4 linked regions of the Struthio camelus genome follow. The main gene of each other region encodes a partner of the protein of the gene in region 3 in a complex. Links are inferred from orthologs where the notes say so. Each region holds a gene or a part of one and is shown on either strand. Other genes may lie near its edges. The genes, in order: CAMKK2, CASP2, YWHAG and CFTR.

Region 1 (7,883 bases), on a different chromosome or scaffold from region 3:
CGGGTCTCGCGAGGAGCCGGCTCAGGCTGCGATTCCCGCGGGGTCGGGGACGACCCCTCCGGCACGAGAAGCTGCTCCGACGACGGAGACCTGCTACGGACAAACCTGTCCCGCTTTAGCGGGTTTGGGTCCCGACCTCGACACTTACCCTTGCTTCACCAGCTCAAACACTGAAACGCAAAGGAAAAGGCCATTAATTGCAGGTTAGAGCTCCTGCGAGCCGCGTCCCGGCGCGCGAGCACTCGTTTTTACGGCTGGGCACGCGAAATCCGGGGTGCTTCTGCCTCCGATTAAAAGAGCCACCCAGGAAGGCGGCCAGCGGAAGCAAGCTCAGCCTTTACAAGTCCGACGCGACTTAAACCACGCTTTGCCCGAAAACGCTGCTCGGCGCGGATTCCCGGCGAGCCGCCGCCGGCTCGGCGTTAAGCCGAGCGCTCGGCGCCGCGCTGGGAGGAGACGGCCCCCGGCCCCGGCGGCTCGCTTACCCATGTAGAGGTGGTCCTCGCCGGGGTCGTCCAGCACCTGCCCCAGCCGGCGGCGAGGGGGGAGAAAGCGAAAGGAGAGGTGACCGCCGGGCAAGAAAAGGCGCGACGGCGGCTAAGGGGTCCCGCGTCCTTCGCCGCGGCTGCCCGGGCAGCGCTCGCCCCCCTCCCCGCTTCGCCAGGGCCGGCGGCGAGAGGACGAGGAAGAGGAGGAAGAGACGGCACCGCCCGCCCTGGGCGCCCGAAAGCTCCCCCCAGCCCCGTTATCTCTCACGGCCCGGCCACGGGCGCCGCTTTACGGCCCGCCGCCCTCGTTCGCCTTCGGAAAGCCGGCTACCAACCTCTTAATTTCGTAATTAAACGGATGAGGATCCCCGGGGCTCTTCGTACCCGCCAGGCCTAACTAACGCGGGGGCGACCCCGCTCCTGTCGCCGCCGGCGAGCCCCCAGCGCTCTCTGCCTTCGGCAGGAGCCTCGGGAGCGTCGTTTCCTTCCCCAAAACTGACTCGCGTTTCCCGTTTCTTCCAAGGAGCCAGGACACCCCTGCAGCTCCCTGTCGGCGGAGCTGCGACTCACCTCCACCAGCTTCACCACGTTGGGGTGGTCCAGCTTTTTCAGGATGGCGATTTCTTGGTAGACCTGCTCGATGGGCCCTTTGGGCTGCACGCAGCCTTCGGAGGCGGCCTTGGCGCCCCGGGGAGGCGGGCGGCCTGGGGCAGAAGAGGCAACGGGAGGTTTTTTCCGGGCCGCGAGGACGCAGCGAGGGAGCAGAAGCCCCCCAGCTCCCCGGCCGGGGTGGGAAAGGGCCGAGGGCCGCTCCGCGTCCTGCCCACCGAGGGAAGGACCCGAATCCTCCTCGACGAGGGGAGGAAACGGCACCGGAAACAAATCCGAGTTCGGGCAGACCCGACGTCTTGGGGGGGGGGGGGGGGGAAGACGTCAAAACGGACGTCCCCGGCCTCCCGCGCGCCACTTACGGGGGAAGCCCGCCTGCCTCATCAGCTTCTTCTTGGAGAGGACCTTCATGGCCTGCAAGACAGCCCGCGGGCGGGTGAGGCCGGCTGGCGGCGGCGGGCCCCCCCCTCGCTCGGCGGGGCAAAGCCGCCGTCCCGGCCGTACTCACGTAGTAGGTGTTATCGTCCTCGTTGTAGGCCAGCTTCACGACGCCGTAGGAGCCCTGCGGGCAGAGACGCGAGCCGTGGGCCGCCGCCAGCGAGGGACGGGCCAAGGAGCCCCCGCCGGCCCCTCCGGGCGGCGGGTGACCCTGGGGGACACCACATCACCGCGCCGGGTCTGACGCTCCCCCCGCTCCCGGGGCAGGAGACGGCGGGGGGGGGGGGTTGGAAAAAAAAGGTTCGAACGCCCCATTTCATTAAAGGGAAGATGGAAGGGGAAAAAATATATATATAATAATAAATTTCAGGGGGTTGCACCCAAAGGGCCAAAGCACGCAGCACCCCCCCCCCCCCAAAATCCCGGCAATATTCACCTTGCCGATCTCGTCCTTCAGCTTGTACTGGTTGAGCTGCACGCAGTCCTGCCAAGGGAGCAAGGGCTGAGGCGGCCGCCGAGCCGCCGCCGCCGCCGTTTCCTCCCCTTCCCGCCCCGGGGAGGAGGCGGCGAGAGCGCGGCGAGCCAAACTAGCCAGCCACAAAGGGTTCGACCCTCCGGCGACAGCCCCGCGGCACGGCTAGTCGCTAGCGTTATTACAGTTCGGGCGGCGGGCGACCCACCTCCAGGCACCGCTCTACCCCCCCCCAAAAAAAAAAATTGAAACGCTGTGCAAAAAAATAAAACAACATAAAAAATGCAAAAAAAAAAAGCTAAAAGCCATCTTGCAAAAAGGAGGAGAGTGCGCGGGGGGGGGGGGGGGAAGCGGCGAGACCCCCCCCCCCCGCTCACCTGCGAGCCGGTGATGGAGACTCGGTTGGACTCCACGGTGGGCCGGCGGGGCAGGCGCGGCGAGGCGTGCGGGGACGTCACCGGCGAGTAGGGCAGCGACGGGTAGATGAAGCGCTCGGCGGCGGCGGCGGCCTCCTCGCCGGAGCTCGCGGGCTGCGAGCGCTCCTGCAGCGAGAGCTTGCGGCCGGCCAGGCCCGGCTTCGCCCGCGTCTCCTCCGGCCCCCGGCCGTCGGCGGCCCGGCACGGCGGCACCAGCACGCAGGACTCCTCCATGGCGGGGCGAAGGGGGCGTCACGGCGGGGGGAGCTGCCGGGCGCGGGCGACGGCACGGTGCGGGCGCCGGCCTCCTCCCCGCCGCCGCGCCATTTGGCTGCGAACAGCAGCGGCCCCCGCTGAGACCCGGCGAACTCGTGACAGCGATGCTCCCCCGACCTCCGGCCGGGGGAACCCAAATAACGCCCAGCGGCTCCTGCCGCGGGGGCAGCCGGGGACGCGCTTACCGGCAGGCGGGCGCCGGATCCGACCCCGCTTCAGTCGCTCCCGCCGCCCCGAGCCGCCGGCGAGGATTCACTGGGGCTCCCGTCGCCACCACCTCGGTCTAAATCCTCTTGCCGGACCTTGGCAGAAACGAGAAATCGAGTCTGTTAAGGAGGAAGAATAAAGGGGGGGGGGGGGAGGAAGAATAAAGGGGGGGGGAGGAAGAATAAAGGGGGGGGGAGGAAGAATAAAGGGGGGGGGAGGAAGAATAAAGGGGGGGGAGGAAGAATAAAGGGGGGGGAGGAAGAATAAAGGGGGGGGAGGAAGAATAAGGGGGGGAGGGAAGAATAAGGGGGGGGAAGGAAGAATAAGGGGGGGGAAGGAAGAATAAGGGGGGGGAAGGAAGAATAAGGGGGGGGAAGGAAGAATAAGGGGGGGGAAGGAAGAATAAGGGGGGGGGAAGGAAGAATAAGGGGGGGGGAAGGAAGAATAAGGGGGGGGGAAGGAAGAATAAGGGGGGGGGAAGGAAGAATAAGGGGGGGGGAAGGAAGAATAAGGGGGGGGGAAGGAAGAATAAGGGGGGGGGAAGGAAGAATAAGGGGGGGGGAAGGAAGAATAAGGGGGGGGGAAGGAAGAATAAGGGGGGGGGAAGGAAGAATAAGGGGGGGGGAAGGAAGAATAAGGGGGGGGAAGGAAGAATAAGGGGGGGGAAGGAAGAATAAGGGGGGGGAAGGAAGAATAAGGGGGGGGGAAGGAAGAATAAGGGGGGGGGAAGGAAGAATAAGGGGGGGGGAAGGAAGAATAAGGGGGGGAAGGAAGAATAAGGGGGGGGGAAGGAAGAATAAGGGGGGGGAAGGAAGAATAAGGGGGGGGAAGGAAGAATAAGGGGGGGAAGGAAAATAAGGGGGGGGAAGGAAGAATAAGGGGGGGGGAAGGAAGAATAAGGGGGGGGAAGGAAGAATAAGGGGGGGGAAGGAAGAATAAGGGGGGGAAGGAAGAATAAGGGGGGGGGAAGGAAGAATAAGGGGGGGGAAGGAAGAATAAGGGGGGGGAAGGAAGAATAAGGGGGGGGAGGCAGCGGGGCAGTCCCCGAGGGCCACCGGCCCCCCCCGCGTGCCCCCCCCGGCCCCCGTCTGCTTCCCCGAGGCTCAAACGCACCCGGTTTTATTTCTTAATTTCTAGGTTGACGAGGTGCCACAGAGCCAAACAAGCCCAAAAACCAAAAAAACCCCAGAAAATAACCAACCCCCCCCCCGACAACCGCGACGCCAGCCCGACACGGGCGGCCCCAGGAGCAGGGGTTCGCGGCGCTCCCGCGGCCCAGCAAGGCAGCGTTTAAATCCAGAGCCGCCCGCGCCGCCGCTCCCGATCAGCGGGGCAGAAACGACACGTCGAGGATTTAAAAAAAGAAAAAAAAAAGAGTAAAAAAAAAAAAAAAAAAGAAAGTAAAACAAGCCGGCGGAGCAGGTACCCGGCTGCTCCCGCGCCGCCGCCGGCCAAGTCTCACCCGAAGCTGCACGAGTCGGGACGGGACCCGCCGGCGGCCCCAAAACTCATCTCGGGGAAGGGGCCGGCCGCCAGCCCCCGTCCCCGTCCCGGGCGAGACGACCCCCCGGCCGCCCCGGGCACGGCCGGAGGCGCAGGCCGCTCTCCGCGGGCCCCGTAAACGGCGGCGGCGCGAACGGCACCAAAAAAGGAAGCGGCTTCGGGAGGCTAAAAAACCACCCCCGTCGCGCCGGGCGGAAAACCACCGCCGGCCCCAGAGCTTCGTCCGGCGCCCGGCGCGAGCAAACCACCCCGCCGAGCCGCCCGAGGCCTTCGCGCCCGGTTAATCGGCTCCACCGCCGCAAACGCGGCAAGGCCGGTTAACTCGAGCAGGCCTCCTGCGGCTCCCGACGGGCTAAAAGTCACCCGGGCGCCCGCCGGCGGCTCCGAACCGCGGAGCGGCTCCTCTCAAGCCGGCGCTGTCACACCCGGCCAAACCCACGCCAGGGTTTGGGGGGGGGGGGGTGTTGGGGCAGAGAACAGGGTTTGGCAGAAATCTCCCCCCCTCCTTTATTTTTATTTTATTATTATTATTTTTTATAGATACCGTCCCCAAGCGAAACCCCAAAGTTAGCTCCGGCCACGGAGGGCGGCCGCGGGGGGGGACCCGCCGGCCGCAGGAGGAGGAGGAGGACGACGACAGCGGTATCGTCAGGCAGAGGGCGAACCGCGAGAGCCGGCGGCGGCGCAACGCCTCCCACGGGGCGAAACGGAGCCCGAAACGGAGAGGAAGAAACACGCCGGGGGCCACGTTCCCGGCTGGATTTCGGCTGGGGGGCAACGCCGGCGACCGAGGCCCCGGCTCGGCGAGACGGGTTTCGCGCCCTCCCCGGCGCTCGGACCACGGCTCTCGCCCTAAAAAACAAGGGAGCCGGAAGAGACGGCCGGGACGTGCCGGAGGCCGGCCGGGACGCGGCTCTACGCCCGCGCCGAGGACGAGCGCGTTTCGTTACCGCTTATTGGTTACGGGCTCCCCGCTGGGCAGAGCCCGGCGCCGGTCCGCTTTCCGCGGTGCCATCGACCGCCCGCCGCCCCGCGGGCTCTGCCCGACCTTGCCAGAAACACGTCGGCCGCTGCAGCGCCCGCGCCTGACCGGCGGCGGGGAAAGAAAACACAATCTCTCTGCAAGCCGGAGGGCACCCGAAACAACGCGGCGTTGCAAAGGGCCGACGGCGCGCCGTGCCGCCCTCCCCGGCGGGCGGAAAAGCCATCCGGCCCGTCCGAAGCAAAACGGGAGGAATCAAAGGAAGGGAGAAAAAGCAACAAAACCCAAAGCCTGGCTGGGGGCACCCCGCCACCAGGAAAGGCGGCGGCAGACTCTGCGGCAGCCAGGCGGGGCGCGCGCCCCAGCGAAGCTCCAGGCCGCCGGCGGCTCGGCCGCCTGCCCCCGCGTCGCCTCCGCCGCGGCCGGCCCACAGACGCCCGGAGATGCTCCGGAGCGATGCCCGCCGCCGCCTCCGCAGCCCGAGGAGAGCGGCCCGGCGCGGCTCCGGCCGAGCGGCTCGTCGGGATCGCGCTGCCCCGAGCGCTTCGACGCGCGGTTCGCGCCCGGTTTGCGGCGCGTGCCGACGGGGCCGGTCGGGGGCAGAAACGCGGCCGGCAGGGCGGCGCCTTCGGGCCCCTGATGCCGCGAGCGCCTGGAAACCCTACAGCTGCCTGATATGAAACGAGTTTTGCAGTTCTCTGCGCGGAGCCTGCGAGCTTTAGGCGAAAGCCCCCAAAGGGACCCGCGAGGCTGGCGCGACGGGAGCTGGCGAGGCGGCGGCCGCGCAGGGAAGGACTGGACCCGGGCGAAGGCGTTGCTGCAGCTGACGGCCGCGAAACCCCCGAGCCCCCCAGCGGGTCGCCCCGGGGCCTCCGTCCCCGGGGCCGGTTTCGGCTCTTGGGGCACGAAACGGCCCCGCTGCCGCCACCGCTCCTCCTGCAGCACCTCCGTCGCCTCCCGCTTCCTCCGCACAGCTCCTTCTCCTTTTCCATAACCCCCGAGCGCCTCCGCAGCCTAATCCTCCCTCCCCGCCCCGAGGCGACGGTGAGGGGCTCGCGGCGGCCGCCCTCGGCCCACAGGAGGCCCCGCGCCGCTGCGGACCGCCACCCGCTCGCCGTGTCCCCGAGGCCCGGTGCCCCCTCCCCGAGGCCGCCTGCGCCCCGGGCGCCGCCGGGCACGTGCGGGGAAGCGGCGGCGGCCGCGGCGGCCCGACGGGCGGCAGGAGCCGCAGCGGGGCCGGGGCCCTTCCCTCCGCCAGCCGCGCTCCCCCCCCAAGCAGCTCTCGCCCGCACGGGAAAACGAAGCCACCGGCAACCGCCCCCCCTCCCCTCCCCCGGCCAAAACACCCGCTACCCGCAGCGCCGCGGAACCCACCGAACGCGTTATTTCAGGGAAACGCCGTTTCCTGCGAGCAGCGCGCTCGGGCCCGGCCCGGCCCGCGGCCCCGGGCGCAGCGCAGCGGCCGGGCCGAGCCGAGGCGGCGCCGCTTTGTCCCCGCCGGGGCCGCGCCGTCCCCGCGCCCCGGCCCCGCCCCGCCCGCCGCCGCCGCACCGACCTGGGCGCCGCCGCCGCCGGGGCCGCAGCCCCGGAGCCGCCCGCGGGGCCCGAGCGCGCCCGCCCGGCGCCGCCTTCGCTTTCGGTTCCGCTCCGGCGGCGGGAGGCGGTGGGGAGGAGGGGGGGAGATCCGGCCCCGCTCCGCTCCGCCCCGGGGAAGGGGAGGTTTCCCCGCGGGCAGCCGCATTCTCCCCCCCCCCTTTTCATTCACCCCCCCCTTTTTTTTTTTTTTTTTAACCTTTCCAGCCTCGATCCGCCCCAAAGCGCGGCTGCCCCCTTACCCGCCGCCGCCCTCCCCCGAAGGCAGCATCCGCGGCAGGAGCTCGACCCGGGCGGGCTGCGGTCCCCGGGCGGGCAGCGCCGCGGGTCGAGCCGCCGCCCGGCCCTTCCGAAACCCGGCTCTCGGGAAGGGCCGCCGCGGGCGGCCCCGGCCCCGGGCTCCCGCCGGCCGCCGCCCCTGCAGCTGCAGCCCCCGCTTGGCTCGTGCTAATTCCTCCTTTTTCCTCCTCAAGCGCGTTCCCGCTCGAGCACCCTCCTTGCACCGGGCTGAAACTGCCCTTTTCGAGGCAGCAGCTCCCGCCTGGAGCGGAGGCGGGCGCGGGAGCCGCGTACCTGCTTCCCTGCGAGCTTTACGGATAAACGCTCTTCACCGGGATCTTCGAAGCCACCCTAGGAATCAGTTTTGCCATACTGCAAATTATTAATGCGAATATGCTATTAAGGCAGCTGGCAGGTGCTCCAAGCGCTTTATGGAACTTGAACTTTTAAGTGCTTTCCTACTATCACTGGGGGCCTGATTAACGTAACAGACGGGGCAGGAGCCACCAGCATTCCCGTGAAGGGGTTACTTTTCTCTAACATTTGAAATACAGCTGTGGTTTTAAAAACCAAAGCACTGATTATCTGCCAAAAGCCACACTGCAACATTAATTAAAGGG
Region 2 (7,154 bases), on a different chromosome or scaffold from region 3:
CTCCATTATTCCTCTTTAACTTTCTCTCCTTAGATAAGACCGTTTTACATACTGTTTTGCTGCCTTTTCCCCAGGGAACCAAACACAAACTCCATTTTAGGGTAGAGAAGTTCATTTTAGGGTGTTTTTCTTCATTATCCAGGTAGAGCTTGCAAGTGTCTATGTCACAGATCTCCTATATCTTGTCCAATCTAAGTTTTCTTCCCCTTGGGAATTGATTCATAGACTATTTCTAAGACTAAACAGATCCAGCCCTGCTTTATCTTCCCTTGAGTAAGTGAGTCTTGCTCAACAATGAGTCAGACAAGGAAAAAGGAAAAAATGCTGAGGTGGTTTAGTTAGCTGGTTTAGTTTTATAACCTTATTCCCAAAGCAACTGCTCCTTGGCAAACTTTTACAAAGGAACCTGTAACCAGGTGTGGTTCCATTCTTAAAAATCCAACTTGACACTAATAGGTCCTGATTTTGAGAGGCACTGAACACTCCCGAATTCTTTTGGCTTCATCACTGTTTTCAGGTACTCAGTACCATCTAATTTAACCTCAATTTGCCTACTGTAGTTAAAGAATTTAACTTTATTTGCCTCTTTGCTTGCCTGTCTGTATAATATATCATTTTCCACACCCTTAAACTGCTCAGCATTCTCAGATACAAGTTTTTGTATGAGGCCAAAAATGTTTCCACGTCTTTACTGTTAGAAATAATACATAAAAAGAAGCTTCATAGTGCATTTTGCTAGTTTTGGGGTGTACTAGAAGAAAACTAGTATTCATTTATTCAAAAATATGACCTAAAAGGGAAAATGTCTCTAAAGTAATATTCTTCTCTGTAGATGTTCTTTTTAGCACAGAATGGAAAGTTTTGTTTAAACTAAATGAAAATACTTTTTTTTCTCCACTTATATTCCTAAAAATAGATGAATGTTGGTCTAATATATTAAAATAGAGACAGAAAAGGAAAATCCTGTTTTTCCTCTCAGAAATAGCACTTAGTAGTTCTTACTAATAAATTTTAACTGGTGGCAGATTTTAAATGAGGGAATATTAAGCTAAGCCTAGGACACTGGATTGAACAGTCTGGGTTATTACTTACTCTAAGTGTAGAAAAATAAAGTCACATAAGCCATTCTCTAGAATAGGAGGCAAGACTTTAAGTTGGCTGGACCACTGAGCTGATCCAATGGCAGAATATCATACACCAGAACACATGAGATAACAAGTCAATTATCTGTTGTTTGTAGCATAGTCCCTACTTTACGTTATCTAGACTGCCTGCCTCTGCATAAAATAAACAATAAAGTAACCAGTTTAACTGGTATTCCTCTCTCTTGTGCACAGGGTGAACGCTGCCTATGAAGCACCTACCTATGAGGAGGTGATGACTATGTCAGCTCCAGCAATATGGACAATTGCATCCAATCCGGGCACCGTGCCCTCACCACTGAATGAGCCTCCCCCTTACAATGTAGTTATTGAATCATCTGCCCGAGGAGAGACTGTGGTAGAGACTCTCAGGGTCTCAGTGCCACCAAACATAAGGTGCACCTCCGAGACAGACACAGGCTCCCGGATGCACTTGCAGCTGGTGCAGCCCCCCAGGTTGCAGCGGTTTGTTTCAGACATCCATGAAGTGAAAGGTATTGAAGACAGGTTTGAGCCACTGGAGCCGCTCACTCCACCACCTGCTTATGAGAATGCAGTCAACGATGAGGTCTTTGAACATGCTTTCCAACCCTCAATATTATGATTAATTCCACCTTCTATGAATGCAGGACCAACCCCTCACCCCAATGCAGGCTGCACCTGGAGGGAAGGAGAAGGAGATGAGTCTTTTTCATGCCTGAATCAGTAGAAGTCTGTCTTGCCATTCTTTGAACCAGAGCTGAACTACAGACATAGCTTCTGATTTCACTGGGATCTTCGTGCATGCTCATGACAATACCACAGTGCTTTGTCCTGGCAGAAGATATGGAAGACCACTAGGAAAAAAGCCGTGTAATATACAGAAGCAATTCGGAGCCTGGGGATACACCTTTTTGGAAGAGGTGAGTGAATCATGGGAAGAGACAAGGTCACCAAAGGACTGCTGAAGAACAACTGTGGGATGCAGCCAGGATAAGCTGGCTTGGAAAGGGGAGGAACAGAAATAGCAATAAGTAAGAGGAAGATAATAGCAGTTTCTCTCATGTAGGAGAGGCCAACAGTGGGACACATACACATACCCACTGCCTGGACCACCAATCTTCCCAGTTTTACAGGAGAAAGTATTTCTCTATTGTACAATACAAATATTCTACAAATTTCTCTCTACATCGCAGATCACTCTAGATACTTTATTGTCATCACGGCTGCTGTTTTTGCATAGAAATGTCAATGTTTCCAAGTTCTCAGTAACAACCCTGTGCATGGATGTTTTTGTTTAGAAAGGCCCAGTCCCTCTTCCAAGACCAAGTTGAGACTGCAGCAGAGATATCTGGGAATATCAGTCATGAAACATACGTGATCTTTGTCATGACGGCTCTGGTCTGAAGCCGGGTCCTAGCTCTCGCTGATTAGTGATGCTACCCTGTCTTTTAAAACAGCTGAGTCAAACTGTTAGGTTCTGAAGTGTTAGGGTTGAAGTGGTCTGCAGTACGCAAAGAGACACTGAGGTCTGGTGAATGTCCAAATAAAAACATGAAATATGGAGGTTGAAATTTCCTTATGAAAGAGAGCAGCAATCATCACAGCCTTGGAGTACTGTGAAAAAAAGATGAGGAAAGAGAGAACAGCAACAAGCCTGTGCATAAGTGCAGCCATTCAGTAGCCCAAGCAGAACATCCAAATATCCAAAAGAGCATAAATTCTTACTGAAGGTACCAGGATCATTTTCAATGCATACCAGGAACCATAAAGAAATGGGTTAGGATCAAATATATCATTTTCTTTTGAGCTATAAAGAATCAAACAATGAGAAATAACTTTGTATGTATGTTATAAATAAACAGAACCATCAATGATGGATATTAAAAATATTTGATAGTATCATCAGTTTTTCCTCCTATCAGAAACACTCCACAAAATCATGACTAATGGCTGCTTGCATTCTGCTTATTTCTGCTTATTTCTGCTTATATCTTGGCTTAGAGAAAACAGAGGAATTCTATTTCTAAATATACAGCTGAATCGCTTTAGTAACATTAATGGCAAAGCAGCTATATTTCTATCAATCAAGTATTATGAGAGAAAAAACTGCCAGGAGAAACATTGTGATTTTTTAAGGCTAACTATTTCCTGTAGCTATTTCCTAACTCAAGAGAACAAATCACAACTAACAGAAGTGGCAGTGTACCACAAGGGAGTAGAGATGTATGGCCTAGGTTGGGCATTCCAGGATCCTTCTGGCTGCAACAAATTCCTAGGAGTCAGGAAGAAACACGGGTGACCAGCACAGATAAAAGCTAGCCAAAAGAAAGACAAAAAAAGTCTCCAGTTATGATCGCTAGGATTTTGTCTTCAGCAGCTGAGAGGGTTATTTAAGCCTTTCAACTTGTGTTAAATTTTGACACGCACCAGGAAACAACAATCTGAAGCTTTACACGGCAAGAGCTAAAAATCTCTTTCCACTAAAAGGATGCTTGCTCACTTTTCGCTTTCTCTTTCTTTCAACTGTACTCTACCATGTCCTGCATGCTCCCTTTCTTCCTCTTATTTACTCAGTAACACTGAAGCCCCTTTTTGATCTCAGCTGATTTCAGCCCAACATGCATGCAACAACTCCAAAAACACAGAGATCAGAGAAGTGGTATGTTTGCAAAGCAGCATACCTGTTAATTCTATTTGCATGCAGAATCCCTTCTCCTAATCTTCTGATGTGCAAAAGTACAAAGGTGGGGAAGGCCAAGGCGACGCCCACCTGGGGAGCGTTGGCAAAGCGCCCGCGAGCAGCGGGCAGACCCGCCCCCAACGGCCGCCGCCATCCCGCGGCCGGAGCAGCCACGACACTCGCCGCTCCGCCACGCCCTCCCCCCTCAGCGCCTCGCGCGCGGCGGGCGCGCCGGCGCATGCGCACAAGGACGCAGCCCCGCTCAGGCTTGTTTTGTTTGGCGCTTGCCAAAGGGCGGGACTGCAGCGCAGGCGCCCGCCGCGGCCACGTGACGTCAGGAAGCGGGTCCGGCGGTTTGAATCCCCGGGGCCGCAGGGAAGGCGCGCGCGCGCGCGGGGAGGTGAGTGGCGGGAGGGGTTGGTGCGTGCGCTTGCGGCGCCGGCGGTTTGTCCCGGCCGGTACCTGGGGGCGCGGCGCCGAGCCGAGCCGAGGTGGTTTGATATGGGCCGCGGCGAGAGGTGGGTGCGGGGCCTATGCTGCCTCGGCAGCTGGCTCGGGGGGGCGCGCCGTTCCCTGCGGCGATCCCCGCGGTGCGGCCGGTGGAGGCCTCTTTCTGCCCGTTGTCGGGCGCCTCCAGTGCTCCCGACACGCAGCCGGGCTTTTCGCTCCTGAGTGGAAAGTTAGGCGGGATGGGGTAGCCCTTGCGGTTCAGTTTGGTTTTGGTCTTCTCTCTTCTGCCAGGATGCTGGGAGCGTGCGGCATGCAGAGGTGTCACCAGGAAGCGCTAAAGAAGAACCGGGTGATGCTGGCGAAGCAGCTGGTTTTAAAAGAATTGATGGAGCATATGATAGAGAAAGACATCATCACCACTGAGATGATGGAAATGATACAGGTATACAGGTCATGCTCAGGTGCCGTGCTAGTTCTATTCCTAGTTAAGCTTAGCATCATTCTTGGAAGTGGTAATGTGGTAAAACTCATGTATGTGTTACCTGTGTGTTTTAATTTAATCACATTTGGAGAATGTGCACAGCAGCAAGGGGTGTGTTCACAACATGTAGGAGGTTCATAAGCCTCTCTTGGCAATATGGTTATGGTCTGAGATCTACCGAATCACTGAACTGCTTGGGGGTTTGTAGTTGTGAGAGGCTGCACTTGGTGAGTCAGGTAGTATCTTTCAGTCCTTAGTTGTTGTTTTGTGCCTCTTTTTTTCTTCAATTTGTAAAAGTGGGAATAATATCTATTTCCAAAAGAATCTTGTGAGAAAAAGTAAATGAATATATTATAGCCAGCTTATTGTGGCACTTAAGCTACTTTTATAGAAAGAACTTATTTCATGTATGTTTTGTAAATTGCTTGAAGAATTTCTGAAGGGAATGAGGAAATAACTTCCGGATGAATTTTGACTCTGTGTCAAAAAAATAGCACAAAATTTCTCCTGTGACGCATTGAGGATATCTACCAAGGCAGTCTTCCCTGAAATAGTTCCAATCCCTAGAGATAGAGGACAAAGATACAGGAAGATGTTGGAAGAGCAGAGGATGAATCAAGAACTGGTGGCGTATGGCTGGTTTGTAGGGATGTTCAGTTGTTGGCCTGCAGTCAGTCACTGAAAGAGAAACCCTCTTGAAGAGGAGACAGTGCTGGAAGAAACAGTCATTTGGGGAAAAATGCTGCAGTGGTTAATAAGATTTAAACTGAGAAAGAGAGGAAGAAGACTGAGCATTCTGCCCTCCAGGTATGGTTAGGTAAAAGGGGATGCAGCAATACTTTAGAGAGTACAGAGGAAGAAGGTGTTATGGTGGAGAAGTCAGGTAAGTGGAACAACTTTATAGGCAAATTGCATATAATACTATGTATACTCATAAGAAGTAGCTTAAATATGTGTGAGTAGCAACAGCAGCCTGAGCAAGAAAATAGCATAACTCAGTCCGCTGATAAAGAATATGAAGCTGGAAGTAACAGAGATAACAGAAGCTTGTTGGGGGGTGGGGCAGGAGAAAAGGAGGAGAACAGTGACAACTGGAACAGTAGTAATGCAAAATGTGCATTGCGCTAGAATGATAGAAATGAAGGTAGAGGTGGCAGGATAGTACTGATGATAACAATGCAATAGACAACAAATAAGCAAGAAATAACATGAATAAAATTGATCACTTGAATCAAAAACAAGTTGTCTTATCTTTTTTCATTTTTCTAGGGTAGTTCTGTGAATTTCTTATAATCTCCTGCACGCTGGGTCAAATGTGAATAAAGGTCTTAGGGATACCGTTCAGGAGAACCATTCTTGAAAAATGTATCATGACACTAATGGTGGACCTTAGTGGAAATAGGAAGAGACAAATGTCACTGTATTTGATAACAGAGCATAGGTTTTCCTAGATGTTGTAACTGACTGGTTCTGTGTATCCTTCCTCCAAACAAATAGTGGTGGAATGAAGAAGATCTGGATGACTTATTATATTATAAATCATCTTGTCTTAAAAACCTTTCAGTTATACTGGTCCTGTGTTGCTGCCATTTATATTAAATGGAAGAATAAAGAAATTGGTTCTGGAAACAGTGTATAAAAGTCTACCTTCTTTAAGTGAAGTACCCTAAGGAAAGTGAAATAAACTGAGAAGCTCAGGGAGCTGAAGAAAGCCTGAAATATCTTCAAATGTGGGCTGCCCAACTAATCCTGAATCCGTGTTAGAAGTAATAGAAAAGTGGGAGGGGAGGAGATTGTTGGAAGAGCAAATGAAGAGAAGGTGATTGAACTGGATGAAGCGCTGATAAGCACGTGAAGAGTAAATAAAGAGTTTATATGTGTAGACTGGGAATAATTAATAAATAGAAGCAGCTTTCTTTGCCGTCCAAAGAAGAAATGGAGAGAGAATAAGCACTGGCAGGAAAGAATTTGAGTGGAGGCTTCCTAAAAGATACTAGACAAAATGAATGTATTCAATTACATTCTTTTTTGAAAAGAACAAAGAGAGAATTTAGGTCTACTATGTAGTGAAGATGAGGTAAATCTAATAATTATCTAGAGGAGGGCCCAGAAGAGAGTTTTCAAACCCAAAGGCCAAGCAAAGGTGAAAAGTGAGAATAAAATGTGAAAGTGAAAACAGCCATTTCTAAGATGGAAGTCCAAAATCCACTTCGTGAGTGTCCTCTTGTCAGGATGACGGATGTACTTCTAGAGCTCTGGAACAGGACTTCAAAATAACAGTTATGGTAGCAAGGGTTTTGTTTTCCTTTTCAAACAACTTGAAGCCTCTATAATGTAATTGTGGGTTAGTAGATCATGGGGATAGGGGTATCTAAATGGTCTCTGTTGATTAGTAGATGACAATGGAGGGATCAGTGGC
Region 3 (7,905 bases):
ACCCGCGTACGGGAGCAGGCGTGCTGGGACAGCGGGTAAGAAACCCTCGCTACGGTGCTGCGCTGCTGGGAGGCTTCCGGCTGAGCGGGGACGGCCCCGGGGGTGCGTGCCCGCGGCCCCGGCGGGGGCCCGGCCCTGCGTCGCGCTGCCCCAGCAAGCCGGGCTGCACCACTGCGAGCCGTACGGTGCGCGCGAAGCATTTCCAAAGCGGGAGCCAGTTCCCTTAGCCAGCAGGAAGAGAACAGCTCTTCAGTTTGCTTCTTCGCCGCCTGTTTTCCGCTGGGTTTGGGAGAGGCGATCCCTCGGCAGCCCGAACACGACGGCGCAGCTCGCAGCGCGGGGCCGGGCGCGCGGCGGCGGTGACGTGCAGCCCCGTCGCGCCGAGCGAGCCAGCGCGGAGGAAAGGGGGGGCGCGAACGTCACGCTCGCCTTCCCGCAGCAAGCGAGGAGCGAGGATTTCTGGACAAATTTTCAGAGTAGGAAGCAGGCAAAGGAAACGAGCCTCCGAGTCAAAGAGAATTTACCATCTTCCAACATTTACAACAGCTGACAGGGAAGGCAAGAAAACGCGAAGGGAAGGCCTCGTCTTCTCGGCCACAGGAATTAACAGAGTGGCACATCTGAGCACTCCAGGGTTATTTTAATACTGTGGGTGGAATAAGGGTTATTAGGTTTTTCAGGGACATCTGCCAAACAGACCCACATCCTTCGGGTCTTTGTGACTCCCCAAACGAGCAGCCCTCCGGGCTCTTGCCGAGGTGTGGACATGCAACAGGCAGACCTGGCAGAAGGACGTTTATTGATGAGCGTCCAGATTTCGCGGCAGTGAAAACCTGCGCCCCGCAGGTGCGTGCCCTGCTCACCAGGAGCCGTTCACCACGCAACCTCCACCAAACCGCTTTCCCAGTTTGTAAAATAGAATAATAAAGTGGTGTGATGAGGACTGATTAACGTATCAGAGCCCAAAAAGGGGGCTGGATACAGTGCAAATAAAAATTACAGCAAGAGCGCTATTCTGAAGAATTTACAGCATTATGAATATTACATTCTGACCTGTGATGGGGAAGGAAATTGTCTGCGTTGTGCTATTTATTTATTGCTGTGGTGCTTCGACAGGTATAAATCAGTATTTGTTCAGTCTGGGGCAAATACACAGACACCATAAATAGGCCGAGCTGCAATAATTTGGACTAGCTGAGAATCTGCCATATTTACGTAAATTACCAGATAAGTGTCATAAGGTTTGTATGGAGAGGCATTATTTTTTATTAGGCCAGTTGATATATTTGGAAAAAATACACAAGCTTCCAGGCATACAAGCTCTTCTTCAGGTCTAGACTTGTGTTAAATATTATCTGTGAGAATCCAGTAGTTGTACCCAAGAATTATTTTTCGCACGTTAGAGGAACGACATATTCACCCCAAAGACGGAAGCATCATTCAAAAGAGCCTTAAAGCCTCGGCCTCCAGGAACAGCGCCCAACCCCACCCGGCCCCCACGCACAGACAGTCCTGTTTGCTCGCAAGGTAGAGGACACGTGTCCTCATCAGGGGCTCTCTCGCTGCCAGCTTTCTCTTTTATCTGGAAATCCATCTGCTTGAGTTGCCATTTTTTCTTAGGTTAGAGCGTGGGTCTTTGGGCAAAGGTTTTCTCTTATAAGCTTTGTACAGCACTATGCGCAAAGGGGATCAGATGCCTTATGGCATTTCTAAGTAGCTCCAGACTTGATAAGAAAGAGTAGTCATAGCTGAAACACTAGCGTTAATTCCGGGACCCACAAAGTATTTTAATGTTCTCTTGCGTTCTGCACTTTTTGGCTCAAATTTTATCCCCCAAGCTGGCATCATCAGGAGCATAGTAAAAACAACACACAAACTGTTACTGAGCTCTCCAGAGATTGCGAACCTTGTCAGAAGAATGAATGCACCATTATCGTAAAAGAGGAATAAACTGCTGTTGTCTACAGGGCACTATCCTTAGGGTAGCTGTCATGGTAAACAAAAGCACGGGACAATGGGTGTTTTCACATCTGAGAATCACATGTGCAGCGGGGTGTGAGGCCAGATACCCGGGGTGGCCAGGAAGGAGCCGAGTCCGAGGCGCAGGAACACTTCAGTGCTTTTAGAGGCATATTTACGGCAATTGACTCAGGAGTCCTGATGTGCGCTTGGGCCCAACCAGGCTGTCGCAACAGGACAACTTGCACTTTCTCTTTAAAAGGTCATGATCAGTCCCAAATTGGCCAAGCTGAGACTGGGAAGAGCTGTGTGCCATCCACTGGGGAGGCCAGGTGTCAGACTACCCATATGGGCAAAAGGAAACGGCTTGCGAAAATACTGAGCTACGTGCTGAGGAGGTCAGCGAGAGAAAATACCTCTGTGAAGGTGTGTGAGAGGGGAAAAGGCATACCACAACATATCTCCGCAGCCCTGGCAAGATGGCTCACGTGGCAGGCCTTGTTACAAATGTCTAGAACTGGACCTTTCAAACGTGCTCATGCCTTACACAGCGTATGGGAAAAAGCCATAGGGTGAAGCTGAAGGTTTAATATTCACTTTGTTAGAAACCTATGTGAGCTCGCCCAAGTCTTACAACATGAATTGGGCAGTCGAGCAAGAACGTGCACGAAGGAAGGAGGGTGGAAAAGAAGGAACATGTTAGACAGTGTTTTATTTTACACAGGGAATAGATATGATCTGGACATATTTCTAGTTTTCAGGAACTATTTATGAGAAGGCCTGATAGCTTCTAGTCTCAAAGGCTATAAACAAATAAGTATTTTGTTTAAGGAAAACCAGTCCATTCATTACCGTTATTTGTTACCTGTAAAGCAATGTAAGAGTGCTAAAAGCACAATAAAGAGGGAGATCTTATTCAAAAATTGTGTTGCCTGCTCTCATAAAGTATTCTCATCATTTCCAAACTCAATTTGTCTCCACCCATTTGGTTGACACCTTCTCCACAGATTTTAAATAGCCACAATAGGCTGGGGCCGTGATACTGCCCCTGTGAAAGCCAGCACCATATATACACCCGGTGTCAGGAAGGGTTCCTACGAAGGTTCAAAAGCAATTCACAGAACAAGGGGCTCAGCAAGCCTGACAGCAAGAGTCAGCAGGCCGGACCACCGTTCCTGCTTCAACCTAAATTGCAGATACATCTCCCAAACCATCCACACGCCAGCAGGCGTACCAGAAAGGCCGAGGGATGGGCAGAGCATGCCCTGGGAGCACACCCACCATGTTCGAGGCAGGACGGCACTCACCAATGGAGAAGAGGTACATTAGCACGGTCTGGCCTCCATCTGATTAGGGATAAAGCACTTCCATTTTGAGCAGCACATCACCTTTCATTAGACTCGTTTCCTTTTCCACGATGCTGGAGCATCCTCTAAATATTGCTTTATGTATAGGCTTTTTAGGAAAAAAGCATCTCTATGGTTTCTAATGGAATTCCTAATGTGCAGTAGAAGCTCTTCTAGGTGGCAAGTGAACATGCATTTTTATTTCATTAGTTATTGATGAGTTAGCGTAACACACTTGTGAGCTGGCCGCTCATAAATTTTACAGCGTCATTCCTAAGTAAGGTTGCTCTCCTCTGCAGTCTGTTTGGAAAGACCCCTGCCCTGTGGCCAGATAAAAGCTGAGTGTTAGTTGTTTGTCCCTGACTGTATCACAACAGGGTGACTCAGCACTGTCATGACAACATGTACTAATGCACATGGCATCGCCTTCTGGGGCTAGCCTCCAAACTGGAATAGTTCTTCACGGTTTGATAACGTGGTGCTCTTCCAAGCAGATATTTGCAGATGCTAATGGAGACTCTCGGCTCCTTTTCAAAGATGGCACTGGACAGCATTGCACACTCCTCAGACTCAGAAATCATGAGTCAGGCAGCAAAAATACTGAAGTTGGCTTGAAGGTCATGACATTAAAGTCCAAGCCTCTTTGGCTTGCCTTAAGATTTTAGACTCCTGAGAGGTCTGGTTTTATGTTTTTGGCTCTAGAGCCAAATGGGCTAGAAACAAACAATCTCTGAACTCAGGCTGAGGCTCTGTCAAAATTCTTCATGGAAACAGAGAGTAACTTAGAGCCCCAAAGACAAGGTGTCTCACGGTAACACCCCGAGCATCAGGGAAGCCCCAAAGCTGCTAAGTGACCCACTGAAGGTTACGCGGGCAGCCAGGCCCGACCCTTGGCAAGGGCCCGCTCCCTGCGCGAGGGGCCCGGCGCCCTCTGCAGTCGCTGCAGGCGGAGGGACGCCGCGGCTGAGGCGAGGGGACGCACGCTCTGGGCGCAGCCGTGGGGCTACCCCCTTCCGCCGCCCCCGCCAGCGAGTGGGGCTGCTGGGGCCCGGGCAGCCCGGCTGCTGCCATCTCCTCGCCCGCGGGGCGGCGGCGCGGCGAGAAGGCGGCCAGCGCCTGCGGAGCCCGTGTGATGGCAGCCGCCACGCAAGGCCCGGGCCGGGCGGGGGCAGGCTCGGGGCCCCCGCCTCCCCCAGCGGGGCGCACCGCCCGGTGAATCAGCACCGGGGAGCCGGCGGCAGCCGTGCTTCCCCCGCCGCGGGGGCGGGGAGCCCACCGACGGGCACGGTGACCGCCCCTTCACCAGGGAAGGGGGAGCCATTTTGTCGGCGGGGCGGGGGGGGGGGGCGAGGAGGGCGATGCGGGGCAGGCGCGCGGCGCGCCGGGAAATGGAGTCTCTGGGCGGGGCGGGGGGCGCGGGGGCGGGGGGCTGGCGGACTACAACTCCCGGCGCGCCCCGCGCGCACGCGCGCGCGCGCGCGCGCGGCCGGCGGCGGCGGCGGGGGGCAGCTGGGCGGCGGCGGTTGGCGGGCGGCGGTTGGCGGGGGCGGGGCGCGGGTGACGCGGCGCGCGGGGCGGGGCGGGGCCGCAGGGGGGTTGTGGTGGCCCGCGGCGCGCGCACAGCAGCCGGGTGCAGCCGCCGCCGCCGCCGCCGCAGCAGCGTCAGCGCCAGGAGCCGCCGCCGCCGCCCAACCGCCACCGCCGCCGCCCAACCGCCGCCGCCCGCAGCCTCCGCGCCCTTCCCCCGGCCCCGCGAAGATGGTGGACCGCGAGCAGCTGGTGCAGAAGGCCCGGCTGGCCGAGCAAGCCGAGCGCTACGACGACATGGCGGCCGCCATGAAGAACGTGAGTGTCCCGTCCTCCCCCCCCCCCCGCCGGGAGCTGGGCGAGGGCAGGGGGTGCGCGCCGCCCGCCCGCCTGCCTCCTCCCGGCCCTTCCCGCCCCCCTCCCCGAGGGTCCCGCAGTGTGAGGCAGCGGGACCCCCCCCCACGGCCGTATGGGGCTGGCGCGCCGTGGGGGGGCCGATGTGGGTGCGGGACGCCCCGCTCCGGGCCTCGTTGCGCTGCCGCCGCCCCGGCCCCGGGCACCTGCCGCCCTGCCCCTGCGTCCGCTGCCCTGTCCCGTCCCGGGGCCTCTACCCCGTCCTCGGACCCCCCAGGCTGCCCGGCCTCCGCTGCGCCCCGTCCCTAAGCCTCTCCTTTGCCCCACGGCCCCCGTGCATCCTTTGCCGTGCCCCCCTCCTCTGGCCTCTCCTTTGCCCCACGGCCCCCGTGCATCCTCTGCCGTGCCCCTCCTCCTCTGGCCTCTCCTTTGCCCCACGGCCCCCGTGCATCCTCTGCCGTGCCCCCCCTCCTCTGGCCTCTCCTTTGCCCCACGGCCCCCGTGCATCCTCTGCCGTGCCCCTCCTTGTTCGTCCTCTCCTTTGCCCCACGGCCCCCGTGCATCCTCTGCCGTGCCCCTCCTTGTTCGTCCTCTCCTTTGCCCCACGGCCCCCGTGCATCCTCTGCCGTGCCCCTTCCTCTGTCCTCTCCTTTGCCCCACGGCCCCCGTGCATCCTCTGCCGTGTCCCCCCCTGCTCGTCCTCTCCTTTGCCCCATGCATCCTTCTGCCGTGCCCCTTCCTCTGTCCTCTCCTTTGCCCCACGGCTCCCATGCATCCTCTGCCGTGCCCTGTCCCTGATCCTCTCCTTTGCCCCACAGCCCTGCTGCATCCTTTGCTGTACCCCATCCCTTGCCCTCTCCTCTGTGCTACAGCCCTGACCCTGCCTGTCCTTTGCTGTGCCTCATCCTTTTCCGCCTCACAGCCCCACTGCATCCTTTGTGATACCTCATCCCTGATCCTCTCCCTTGCCCTGCGGCCCCCATGCCCCCCCTTGCCCTGCCCTGTGTCTTGTCTTCTCCTTTGCCCTATGGTCCCCGTGCATCCTTTGCTGTGCCCCTATCCCTTGTCCTCTTCCCTACTCTAAGGCCCACCTGCCCTGCCCCCTCTGTTCTCTGTCGTGCTACCATCCTTTCCCCTGCCTTAAGGCCCCCCACCCTGCCCCATGCATCCTCTGCCCTGCCCCTTGTTTTCTTCCCTGCCCTAAGGCCCCCTACGGGCATCCTCCACTGTGCCTCTGTCCCTTGTCCTTGCTCCTGCCCCAGGGGTCCCCCCGCCCTGTCCCTGCTCAGAGGGCAGAGGAGCCGCCCTTGAGGCACGGTGCTTCCTGCTGCGCTCCCTGCAGGGTCACACCAAACCTGCTTAGGGGCTTTCAGCCCCTTGGGGTGAGCCTGCAGGAAACCCTGTGGAAGGATTTGCGAGCACGTCTCTCCCCGCAGCCGCTGCTGAAATGCCACCCCGTCGCTCCCATACATCCCTTCCCGTGCGCGGGTCTGCGAGGCTTGTATGCTTGTGACCCCAAAGATCTGAGCCTTTAGCTGCCAAAGCTCTTATTTTTACTGCACTTGTTCCGAGATTTATGAATTGAGTCATGTTGTATTCATTTCACGCTCTTAAAATAAAGACTCTGCATATAGCAGGCTGATCTGATTTGTGACACTGAACGTTCCTCTTCAATACTGACATTTTGACAATATAAGAAGTAAAAAAACATATCTCTGATCTGATCTTGCAAACAAAGCAATCGTGGGAGGCAGGATCAAGTCATTCCAGAAGATTCTGCATTTGTCATATTGCAGAGAGGCTAGACTGGGTGGAGGGAGGGAGGGGGTGCTTTAAAGGGGAAAACTGTTCTTTATGTTTGTCTTCTTAGTCAGGTCTGAACCTTTAAGAGGAGCTGGGGTGTCCTCCCTTGCTGATGAAAAGTGAATGCTGATCTAGGAATGTCGCAGTCTGTCTTGGATGCAGCTCCGTTTGCCTATATTGCACCATTTTATCAATAACCTTGCATTTATCAAACAGACAAAACTGTCACAGCCTGAGAACGGGGAGGGAGGAGATGTCTTATCAAGGAATGAAATATGGATAATTGGAACAAGATAATATCATATTAAAACAATTGGGCTACTCCTCTGCTGCACTATGGATTTTATACTGTTTGCTGATAACAGAACAGCATCCATTCATTTTAAAGTAAGGCTTGCAATGTGTGCAGATGCCACATGTTATTTCATATGGAGAATATAGCCGTTATGACAAAGCCGACAGTGATATGCCTGAGGACTTAACACACAGTCTCGTTGCAATATTTCTGTTATGTGAATTTCCATAGCCTACTTACGGTGGATCTGTATTTAAACCAAAGTTGTCGTTAGACTGTATATACTCTTTTTTTTTCTTTTTTGTCCTTACTGCTCCTAGTGAAAGAGTAACCTAGGCTAATGCTGCTTATCAGTTTTCATGTAGTTTAGCCATAAGAAAATGATTCACAGTGGGAGTGCTAGTGCCTCTTGCTACAGCAAACAAAAGGCAGAGCTTTGTTCTTAATTTCTGCAGAATGCCACTCAAACTCTGGCTCAGTCCCACGGTAATGGGCATGTCACACTTAGTTATTCCTGATACTGTCCTCTGTACTGCCCATCCCCCAATTCCAGTTGTGCAGGAGGCTTGTGACCTCGCACTCATTTCCGTAGCAACGCTAGTGATGTCATATGCACTGGTA
Region 4 (7,143 bases), on a different chromosome or scaffold from region 3:
TTCTGCATTTTAATATGTTCAAACATATCCCTAGCCTGAACAGGACATAGGATGAAGCAAGAGATCCTTGCCAATGGGCTTACAGATACTATTATCAGGGAGCTGATAACAGCTTGTGCAATATTAAATAATAATATTACATTTATCAGCAAGACTTTCCTGAAAAATAGTATTTTATTCTTTAGTGATACTTCCACTATAGTAACTTTCAACTTACTGCACTATATTCAGGTTTGTACTTTACAAATAGTTCCATAGCAACTACTAAAAAAGTTATTTCACTGAAGAAGTCCTCAGTGTTGCACTTGAAAACAACTATTTAATCATTATTGGAAAAAGTAATATCTTTTTTCCAGACATAACTTTTTCTTTTTTTTAAGAACTGACTACCTCTTTCTGATAGAATGCTCATGACTTCTGTATCTCACACAGTTTAATGGAACTAAAGCTCATGCTTAAATGTGGGCATGTCCTGAAGTGCTTTGCTAAATATGATCAGTTTCAGAAACCAAGGACATGTGTAGGTTCAGTTAGAACACTAACAAAATAATCTGACATTTCACAAAACCTTGATCCAATCTAATTCATTAACCACAATTTCGTGGATGTTTCCAGCTGACAGAACAGGTCTCTTTAGTTAGTGATACATAAGTAAATTCTTCTGACTTTATAAAGCTCATCACAAATAATATATTTTTAAGTTTTGTAAAATCCTCATACTTGATAAATGTTTGCTCTGTTATAATTTACCTTCTAATAATTTTTAACATTGATCCTGATATTAATTTGATGAGATGGAAATTCTGAGTCAGTGAGGAATGAATGCAAATATTTTAAAACACGCTCATATGTTTCACAGCTACAAATAATTCATTTTTCCAAAGAGTTTTTTTTAAGAGAAAGACATTCTTGATGCAAATTGGGATGTAATATTTTTTATCTTGTGGTTTTCACTTTTGTGATCTTTGCAAATATTTCATATAATAATTCTGAACAGAGATATTTTACCAATATACATGGTAAAATGCAAGTAAATTTTATAATTCACAGAAGCATATCATGTTGGATTCTTTATAGAAGTCTATATATAATTTTGTCTATTCTTACCCAGTGAACTGAATGCTTACTTTAATAGCTTGTTTCTTCTTTGAAGCAATATTATCATAAAGTTTTGCACAGAAACTCTTCTGTTCTAGTCAATATTCACCATAAATATCTCTTTTCTTGATATATTTATTATCATAATATTATCATAAGACAGTATAATATCACACATCACGCATGATACGCATGATTCAAACCTCACTTAATTGACATAAAGACTCAGACTCAAGGTTAATGAGCATGAGTTGCATCTGCTTTTGGACATGGGAATTTTAATTAAGGTAAGAATCAGCAATATATTTTATTGGGAATTTTGCCTGACATCTTTAGCATCACAAGTTCTAGGACAGCATGCTGCTATAAGCTGCAAAATAAATAAAATGAAATCGAACAAATGATTCCACGAGCAACAAAGTTAATATGTTGCCTTATTTCCTACAGATTTGAATCTTACACTTGACTGGAGCACCAACTGAAGCTTTTCTATGGAGAATTTATAAGGGCTCACTCCCACTAATCCACACTCTCTGGGTCTAAGAGCATTTGAGTACAGGTACAGCTTCTTTCACATTGCAGCATCTGTAGAGGACACTGACAGGAGTCTCCTTCAGCTGGGCATTTCACAAAACTTGAGAAACTGGTTGTGTTTGGGATCCTTCACAGCTATCTCATCTGGCTGAAATGAACGGTCAAAGGAATCAAAGGGGAGCAGGCAAGCAAACAGAATAATTCATAAAGAGCCACTTCTTAAGAAACTAAGAAAAAAAAAGTCCAAATCTATGCCAATCTGCTGAAAAGGGAAGTTATCCCAAAAGCTTTAGAAAGTGAGTTAAAAGCCCTCAGTTAGTATCTCAGCCAAGAACCTCGTGCCAATGTTATGGTTTTCTATCACGTGTCCTCACTTCAGTCACCATGGCCATGTTTCATGTAAGATTTCCTCCCTCCCTTAGGTGTTGCATGAAAGACCCTCACGTAACAAAAGGGGAAGCCGGCTCCCTTGGAAAACAGCAAAACTGACACATGGGTCAGAAAGATCATTTGTTCCTTCCAGCTGGTAGTGTTATTTCCAACAATATCATGTAAAACATTTTCAGGCTTCTGAATTGTCTTATGAACTGTGTGGTGCACAGGCATTGGGGTATTGGCTCCTTCTCCTCTTTTTCTTGAAGTTGCAAGAAAGAAAAGATGCCAGGGACTTTACTCGTAAGGGAACACTTTCAAGGCTTACAAGGAACTATTTCCAGTAAGATCCTGTATTACATTCATATTGAACTGAAAAAAAATGGAAAGTCAAGGAGAAGGAACCCTTGCTTTCAGATCATTCACCCCCCCCCCCCGCCCCGTGATCTCACAGCTTGTAGTGAAATAACAAATTAAGTAGTTGAGCAATTTACCAAAGGTTGCTCAAATTGTGTCATAAATCAATTTGTCTAGGACCACTGACGGTTTATGACACCAAATAGATAGAGACCATTCCTAGTGCTAAAAACTAGAGGGAGAAAAAAAAGCCAGATAAGATCACATCACTTTTCGACAAGCAAGGCTCCCACTGCTCTCTTTGCAAACTGCTCTGGGGCTCCTTGGCGCCTAGCGAGCCCTCCGCCGGGCCAGGCAGCCCTGCGCCCGCGCCGCCCTCCCGGCCCGCACGTGCTCCGCCGAGGCTCCTACCTGAAGAAAAGTTTGGAGAAGATGTTCGCCTTCTCCAGGGGGGACCTCTGCATGGTGCCCGGGGCTGCCTCGGGGAGGCGCGGCGCGGCGCGGGGCTGGGCTGGGCTGGGCGCGGGGAACTGCCGGCCGCCGCTAATTGCTCACGCCTCGCTCGCTCCGCTCCCGCGGCTCTCCCACCTTATCCGCTCGGGCCGCTCTGATGTCATTGCCTGCCTCCTTCCCCTGCCCCTCTCCCCGCCTCTGCTTTGCCCAGGTTCAAAAGCAGGAGGGCTCGGGAGCCGGCCCGCGCACCACCGCCTCCTCCTCCGCCTCCTCCTTCCCAACCCCCCCGCCGCGCCCGGCACCCGCTGCCCGCCGCGCCGCGCACCCGGGCGCGCCCCGCGGCTCCCGGAGCTCCCCACTGTGCACGCACACACACACACACACACACACTCCTCCCCCGGCTCCTCGCTGGGTTTCGCGCTAGCCCATTAACTCTTCCTACCAACGCGGCTTGGCTGGGCCTCGCACACCCTGCGCTCCGGCGCCCTGCCAGCAGTCACTAACGCAGAGTCCCGCAGGACTGGCGGGGAGCCGGGCTGCGAGCCCCCTCCAGCCCGACCTCCCTCGCCCTTCAAGGAGGCGAATCGCCTTTCTAAACTGTGCCTTCTTCCTTTGCACCGGGGGCAGCGGGGAGCGGGCAGCGAGGAGACACCCCCCCCGAGCCCCCCAGGGGGACACGCTGCCCCCGCGCGCGCACCGTTGCCCGCCGCAGACCCAACCCGGAGCTCCCGAGCCACCTGCTTGCAAACCCGCAGCGAAACCTGCCGGTCCGCGAGAGGCGCGGGGGCGCCCTCTAAGACCGAAGGGAGCCTAAGCCTGGTTTAACGGGGTTTAACTTCTGTGCATGCCCAAAGCCCGAGTTATCCCACCGTTAGCGCCAGTATGGGGGAGAAACCCAACACAATCCCGCCTGAGGCTCCCCAGGACCCCTGTGCGAGGTCCTGCAAGACAGCTCTTAAAGGAGCGCCCTGGGCCATCGCGATGGCAGAGAGGGCGTGAGGGGCCCCATTCACGTGCGCCGCGCTGCTGGCCAACGCCGTCGCTGTGAAATGACTGAAACAAGCAATAGACAGCGGACAGGGAGCTCAGATAAGAATAAATGAGAACAGTGCGCACAACAACATTCACTTTAAAATACAGTTGCTGCAATTTTTCAAGTTTTCTCATAGGCACGACAACTTGAACGTAGAGGAATGGGAATTGAAGGTATATCCTCATAAAATTTAGCCCAAACACCGACGTTTAATAACAAAGCTGCTTCTGGAATTATGCGTGTAGTGTACAAACAAAATCCCTGCTTTCAAAGAGCATGCAGTAGAAAGCATGCTTAAAATAAAATAAAGATGACAATAAGCAGGAATAAGTTCTTCTGATCGTTTTAGTTCTGTATATAACTTACTCCTGTTTCATTTAACATTTTAATACGATATTTACACAGTTGCCTTTTACCTCTGTAATTAAAAAAGTATTAATGGAAAAGGTCATGCTTTCCTAAGCATACAACCGTTTCTGTCCACACTGGTTCTTTAAACGGGCAAACGTGATTCTTATGGTCTCAGAGCTTATGCTACGATTTAACTAGCTGTCACTCTTTGCAATCTTTGCGGCTATCTCTTCTTTTATTTCACATCACTGCTTCTCACTAGACCCCTCAGCGCCTTCATACAGAACTTCTCTTCGCCTTACAGTTTTTCCTCGCAGGCCGTGGGGAGCTCCTAGGTGCCCCCTCGCACCGCTCCGGCGGTGCTCAGCGGCGGAGGCGCGCGGCTCCGCAGCGGGAGCCGAGCGGCGCCGCAGCGGGAGCTCTCCGGCATCCTGCCACCTAGCGGAGCCCGCCGCGCGGCCCGGGAGCCACGGGGCCCCGGCGGCACGGGCGCGGGGCTGCCGCACCGCAGCACCCCCGCCGCAGCGAACAGGGGAGCAGGCGGACGCTGCACCTCGAGGAGTTTGGCACCGGGCTCTAAGCTACTCGAAGGTACCTGCTCCCTTTCATATTTAAAGGTATGGATTTTCTCCTCGATTAAGCGGTGACAAATGGCAATCTAACTCCTCTGTATCCACTATGCTCAGTGACTAGCATACTCAACCAGAAAAGAGCGATTAGGATTCGAATCCCCCCTTTGCCTGACTTAAGGCAAGGCTGTGAATCCACATTTTTCCACCTCTCAAGGAAATTCCCCACTGGGCCCTAACACACAGATGATCGAAGTGGATCTCTTTCTCTGAAATTCTTTCACTGTTACAAAATAGTTAAATGCCAATTTAAAGACAGGCTGGAAAACAAGTCTTTTGAGCAACATAGAACTAGCCTGCTACAGACTCTTTCCCTTTCTAGCCCTTAGGTTTCTGGTGTGTTCAGATAAGGCAGAAACTGAGCAGGGGATTAGAAGGTTTTTTGTATTTTACATTAGAAAGTGAGGTATGTTAGCCATTTAAAACCTTTTGTGGATCAAGTCCAAATTGCTTAAAGTGTCAATGGCTAATGGAGTATTTTCCATAAAAGTCCTTGCTGCTATTATCACCAGAGCTGACTTAGGAGCATTTCCAGTAAATTTGGGACTAACAAAGATATCCCAGTAGTTATTGTTGATTTTTTAGCTCCAAATTCCACTGCCCTTCATATGTCAAGTTCTCTAAATCCCTAATTTTGAACATTTCTTCTCTAAACTTAAGACTATTTGACTAGTTTCTTAACTACCAGTTATCGCTATTTCAGCACCACCAAACCCCCAGGAGTGATTAGTTCCCTGCTCTCTGATCTGATAGTTTTGTATAGAACTCATGTGCTTCCATCTCACCTCACACAGTCACAAACTCTTAACTAGTTGTGCTTTTCAAATTTTCCACAAATAATTTCCTTGCCCTTTTTTTTTTCCCCCGAACTGAACATTCTGTAGTTTCAGAACAGCCATTATTCCTAATCTTCTCTGGGAGCTTGAACATATTCCAGCTGACATGAATGAGAAACTTGTCATTAGCATTTCTATGCGCAAGAATAAACCATGATATTTCTATTGTCTCTAGGGGCTGAAATACATCCAAATTTAGTATTATCTATGAATGTAATTAATGTGATCTTCCTTCACTTCCACAGAAATGCAATCTGATATGACAACAGCTACTTTATCCTTTAATTGTATCCACATCCACCATCTATCTGATTTTACTTCGAATTTTTGAAAAAAATGGAGTGAGCCTGTTGCAGAGTGAGGTGGCATGTGAACAGGAGAACAGGCAAAGCCTTATTTCCTTTGCCATCACTGCAGTAACTTTGGCTGCCATACTGCATCATTGCAGAAGTGCAATGATACCCCAGCCAAGTGAGAAACAACCTGCGGTAGGGAGTCTGAAGCCGCAGACATAGGAAACGGATCAGCTGCTCAGTTGCTGCCATGTTCACAGAAACTCAGAAGTGAGTTACACCTGGAGGCTGTACCGGCCTCTGTCCTGCCTTTGGTTACATGTTCCTATTCCCCTCCAGGACTACTGGACTGCATGTAAAGCAGTCAAGGTTCTGGTCTAACTGAAAACTCTACCATAGAGTGATTCATTTTCAGCAGGATCAGCACCCTGAACTAACTAGGAAGATAACTTACTCGGCACTACTGCCAAGATAAGTAAGAGTACAAACATACGTCAAGGGGCAAGAGAGGAGGAAGGCAAGGCAGGGGTAAGATCGACTTTAGCTGCCATGGAGTCACAAACTGAGTTTTCTAAGTAAAGCAGCACACTAGGGGTTTGGGGTTTTTTGATTTTTACCCAGCTGCTGATTTGCAAGTGTGGAGGAAAGTAATTCTATTTAAATACTTGATCCATTAGCCAACATCAGTGGACAAAGGGACAGAAAAGTCGTTAGTGGAAAGAGAAAGTATGACCACATAAGCATCATCATAGAAAACAAAAGCTAAGCAGCTGCCAAAAGTAACATTTACAGTCACTGATTTTTTGTTGCTGCTTAAAATGAAATAGGTTTTCTGCTCATTAGTCTCATAACTCTGATCTTCTGAAAAAATCCCTTAAAACATCCTTGGAGAAAAAATGGTTCTCTGGATAGGATAGGGAAAAAGAAAATAGGGATCAAGGTGACGTTTATTTTCTTTGATGGCTGAAGCAATCATATATAAAAATCAATTTCACTCTAACTCAACCCTCAAATATTTCAGAACCTTTAGTTAACTGGAAACTATTTTTAGTTGTAATGTTTCGTTCAACCCAAAAGCAATTCAATGTTTTTTCAGATTTTTTCTATAACAGTGTAGGACTTGATCCACAAACCTAGTGGTCTTCCCCTCAACCTTTTCTATGCTCAGCTGGAATCTAATACACTTG

What was found.
Region 1: the proteins of YWHAG (region 3) and CAMKK2 are in contact, whole or in part, in a crystal structure (PDB 6Y6B), measured with the Homo sapiens proteins. The link is inferred for Struthio camelus from reciprocal best matches to the Homo sapiens genes YWHAG and CAMKK2. Residues at the interface, in NP_036611.2 of Homo sapiens: Ser46, Val47, Lys50, Asn51, Arg57, Arg132, Tyr133, Gly174, Leu177, Asn178, Val181, Glu185, Ile222, Leu225, Asn229, Trp233; in NP_001257414.1 of Homo sapiens: Leu99, Ser100, Leu101, Gln102, Glu103, Arg104.
Region 2: the proteins of YWHAG (region 3) and CASP2 are in contact, whole or in part, in a crystal structure (PDB 6S9K), measured with the Homo sapiens proteins. The link is inferred for Struthio camelus from reciprocal best matches to the Homo sapiens genes YWHAG and CASP2. Residues at the interface, in NP_036611.2 of Homo sapiens: Glu15, Asn43, Val47, Arg57, Arg61, Lys125, Arg132, Tyr133, Pro170, Gly174, Leu177, Asn178, Val181, Glu185, Glu213, Asp214, Lys217, Asp218, Leu221, Ile222, Leu225, Asn229, Leu232, Trp233; in NP_116764.2 of Homo sapiens: Asp137, Leu138, Ser139, Leu140, Pro141, Phe142, Pro143, Val144, Cys145, Glu146, Leu150, Lys152, Lys153, Leu154, Ser157.
Region 4: the proteins of YWHAG (region 3) and CFTR are in contact, whole or in part, in a crystal structure (PDB 5D3E), measured with the Homo sapiens proteins. The link is inferred for Struthio camelus from reciprocal best matches to the Homo sapiens genes YWHAG and CFTR. Residues at the interface, in NP_036611.2 of Homo sapiens: Lys50, Arg57, Arg61, Lys125, Arg132, Tyr133, Leu177, Asn178, Val181, Glu185, Ile222, Leu225, Asn229, Leu232; in NP_000483.3 of Homo sapiens: Arg766, Gln767, Ser768, Val769, Leu770.

Annotation. Positions count from the first base shown.
Region 1 is NC_090958.1:17,347,029-17,354,911, forward strand, and holds the start of CAMKK2 (calcium/calmodulin-dependent protein kinase kinase 2), read right to left. Parts: upstream 3,008-7,883; 5' UTR 2,885-3,007; intron 2,755-2,884; 5' UTR 2,658-2,754; coding exon 2,385-2,657; intron 2,020-2,384; coding exon 1,972-2,019; intron 1,660-1,971; coding exon 1,606-1,659; intron 1,512-1,605; coding exon 1,460-1,511; intron 1,193-1,459; coding exon 1,059-1,192; intron 523-1,058; coding exon 486-522; intron 171-485; coding exon 149-170; intron 1-148. UniProt on the Homo sapiens protein: Calcium/calmodulin-dependent protein kinase belonging to a proposed calcium-triggered signaling cascade involved in a number of cellular processes. Isoform 1, isoform 2 and isoform 3 phosphorylate CAMK1 and CAMK4. Isoform 3 phosphorylates CAMK1D.
Region 2 is NC_090942.1:90,151,042-90,158,195, forward strand, and holds the start of CASP2 (caspase-2), read left to right. Parts: upstream 1-4,152; 5' UTR 4,153-4,305; coding exon 4,306-4,322; intron 4,323-4,545; coding exon 4,546-4,696; intron 4,697-7,154. Other genes in the region: TMEM139 (transmembrane protein 139), read left to right, coding at 1,338-1,746. UniProt on the Homo sapiens protein: Is a regulator of the cascade of caspases responsible for apoptosis execution. Might function by either activating some proteins required for cell death or inactivating proteins necessary for cell survival.
Region 3 is NC_090957.1:14,518,682-14,526,586, forward strand, and holds the start of YWHAG (14-3-3 protein gamma), read left to right. Parts: upstream 1-4,894; 5' UTR 4,895-5,063; coding exon 5,064-5,150; intron 5,151-7,905. UniProt on the Homo sapiens protein: Adapter protein implicated in the regulation of a large spectrum of both general and specialized signaling pathways. Binds to a large number of partners, usually by recognition of a phosphoserine or phosphothreonine motif.
Region 4 is NC_090942.1:28,687,587-28,694,729, forward strand, and holds the start of CFTR (cystic fibrosis transmembrane conductance regulator), read right to left. Parts: upstream 3,004-7,143; 5' UTR 2,826-3,003; coding exon 2,773-2,825; intron 1-2,772. UniProt on the Homo sapiens protein: Epithelial ion channel that plays an important role in the regulation of epithelial ion and water transport and fluid homeostasis. Mediates the transport of chloride ions across the cell membrane.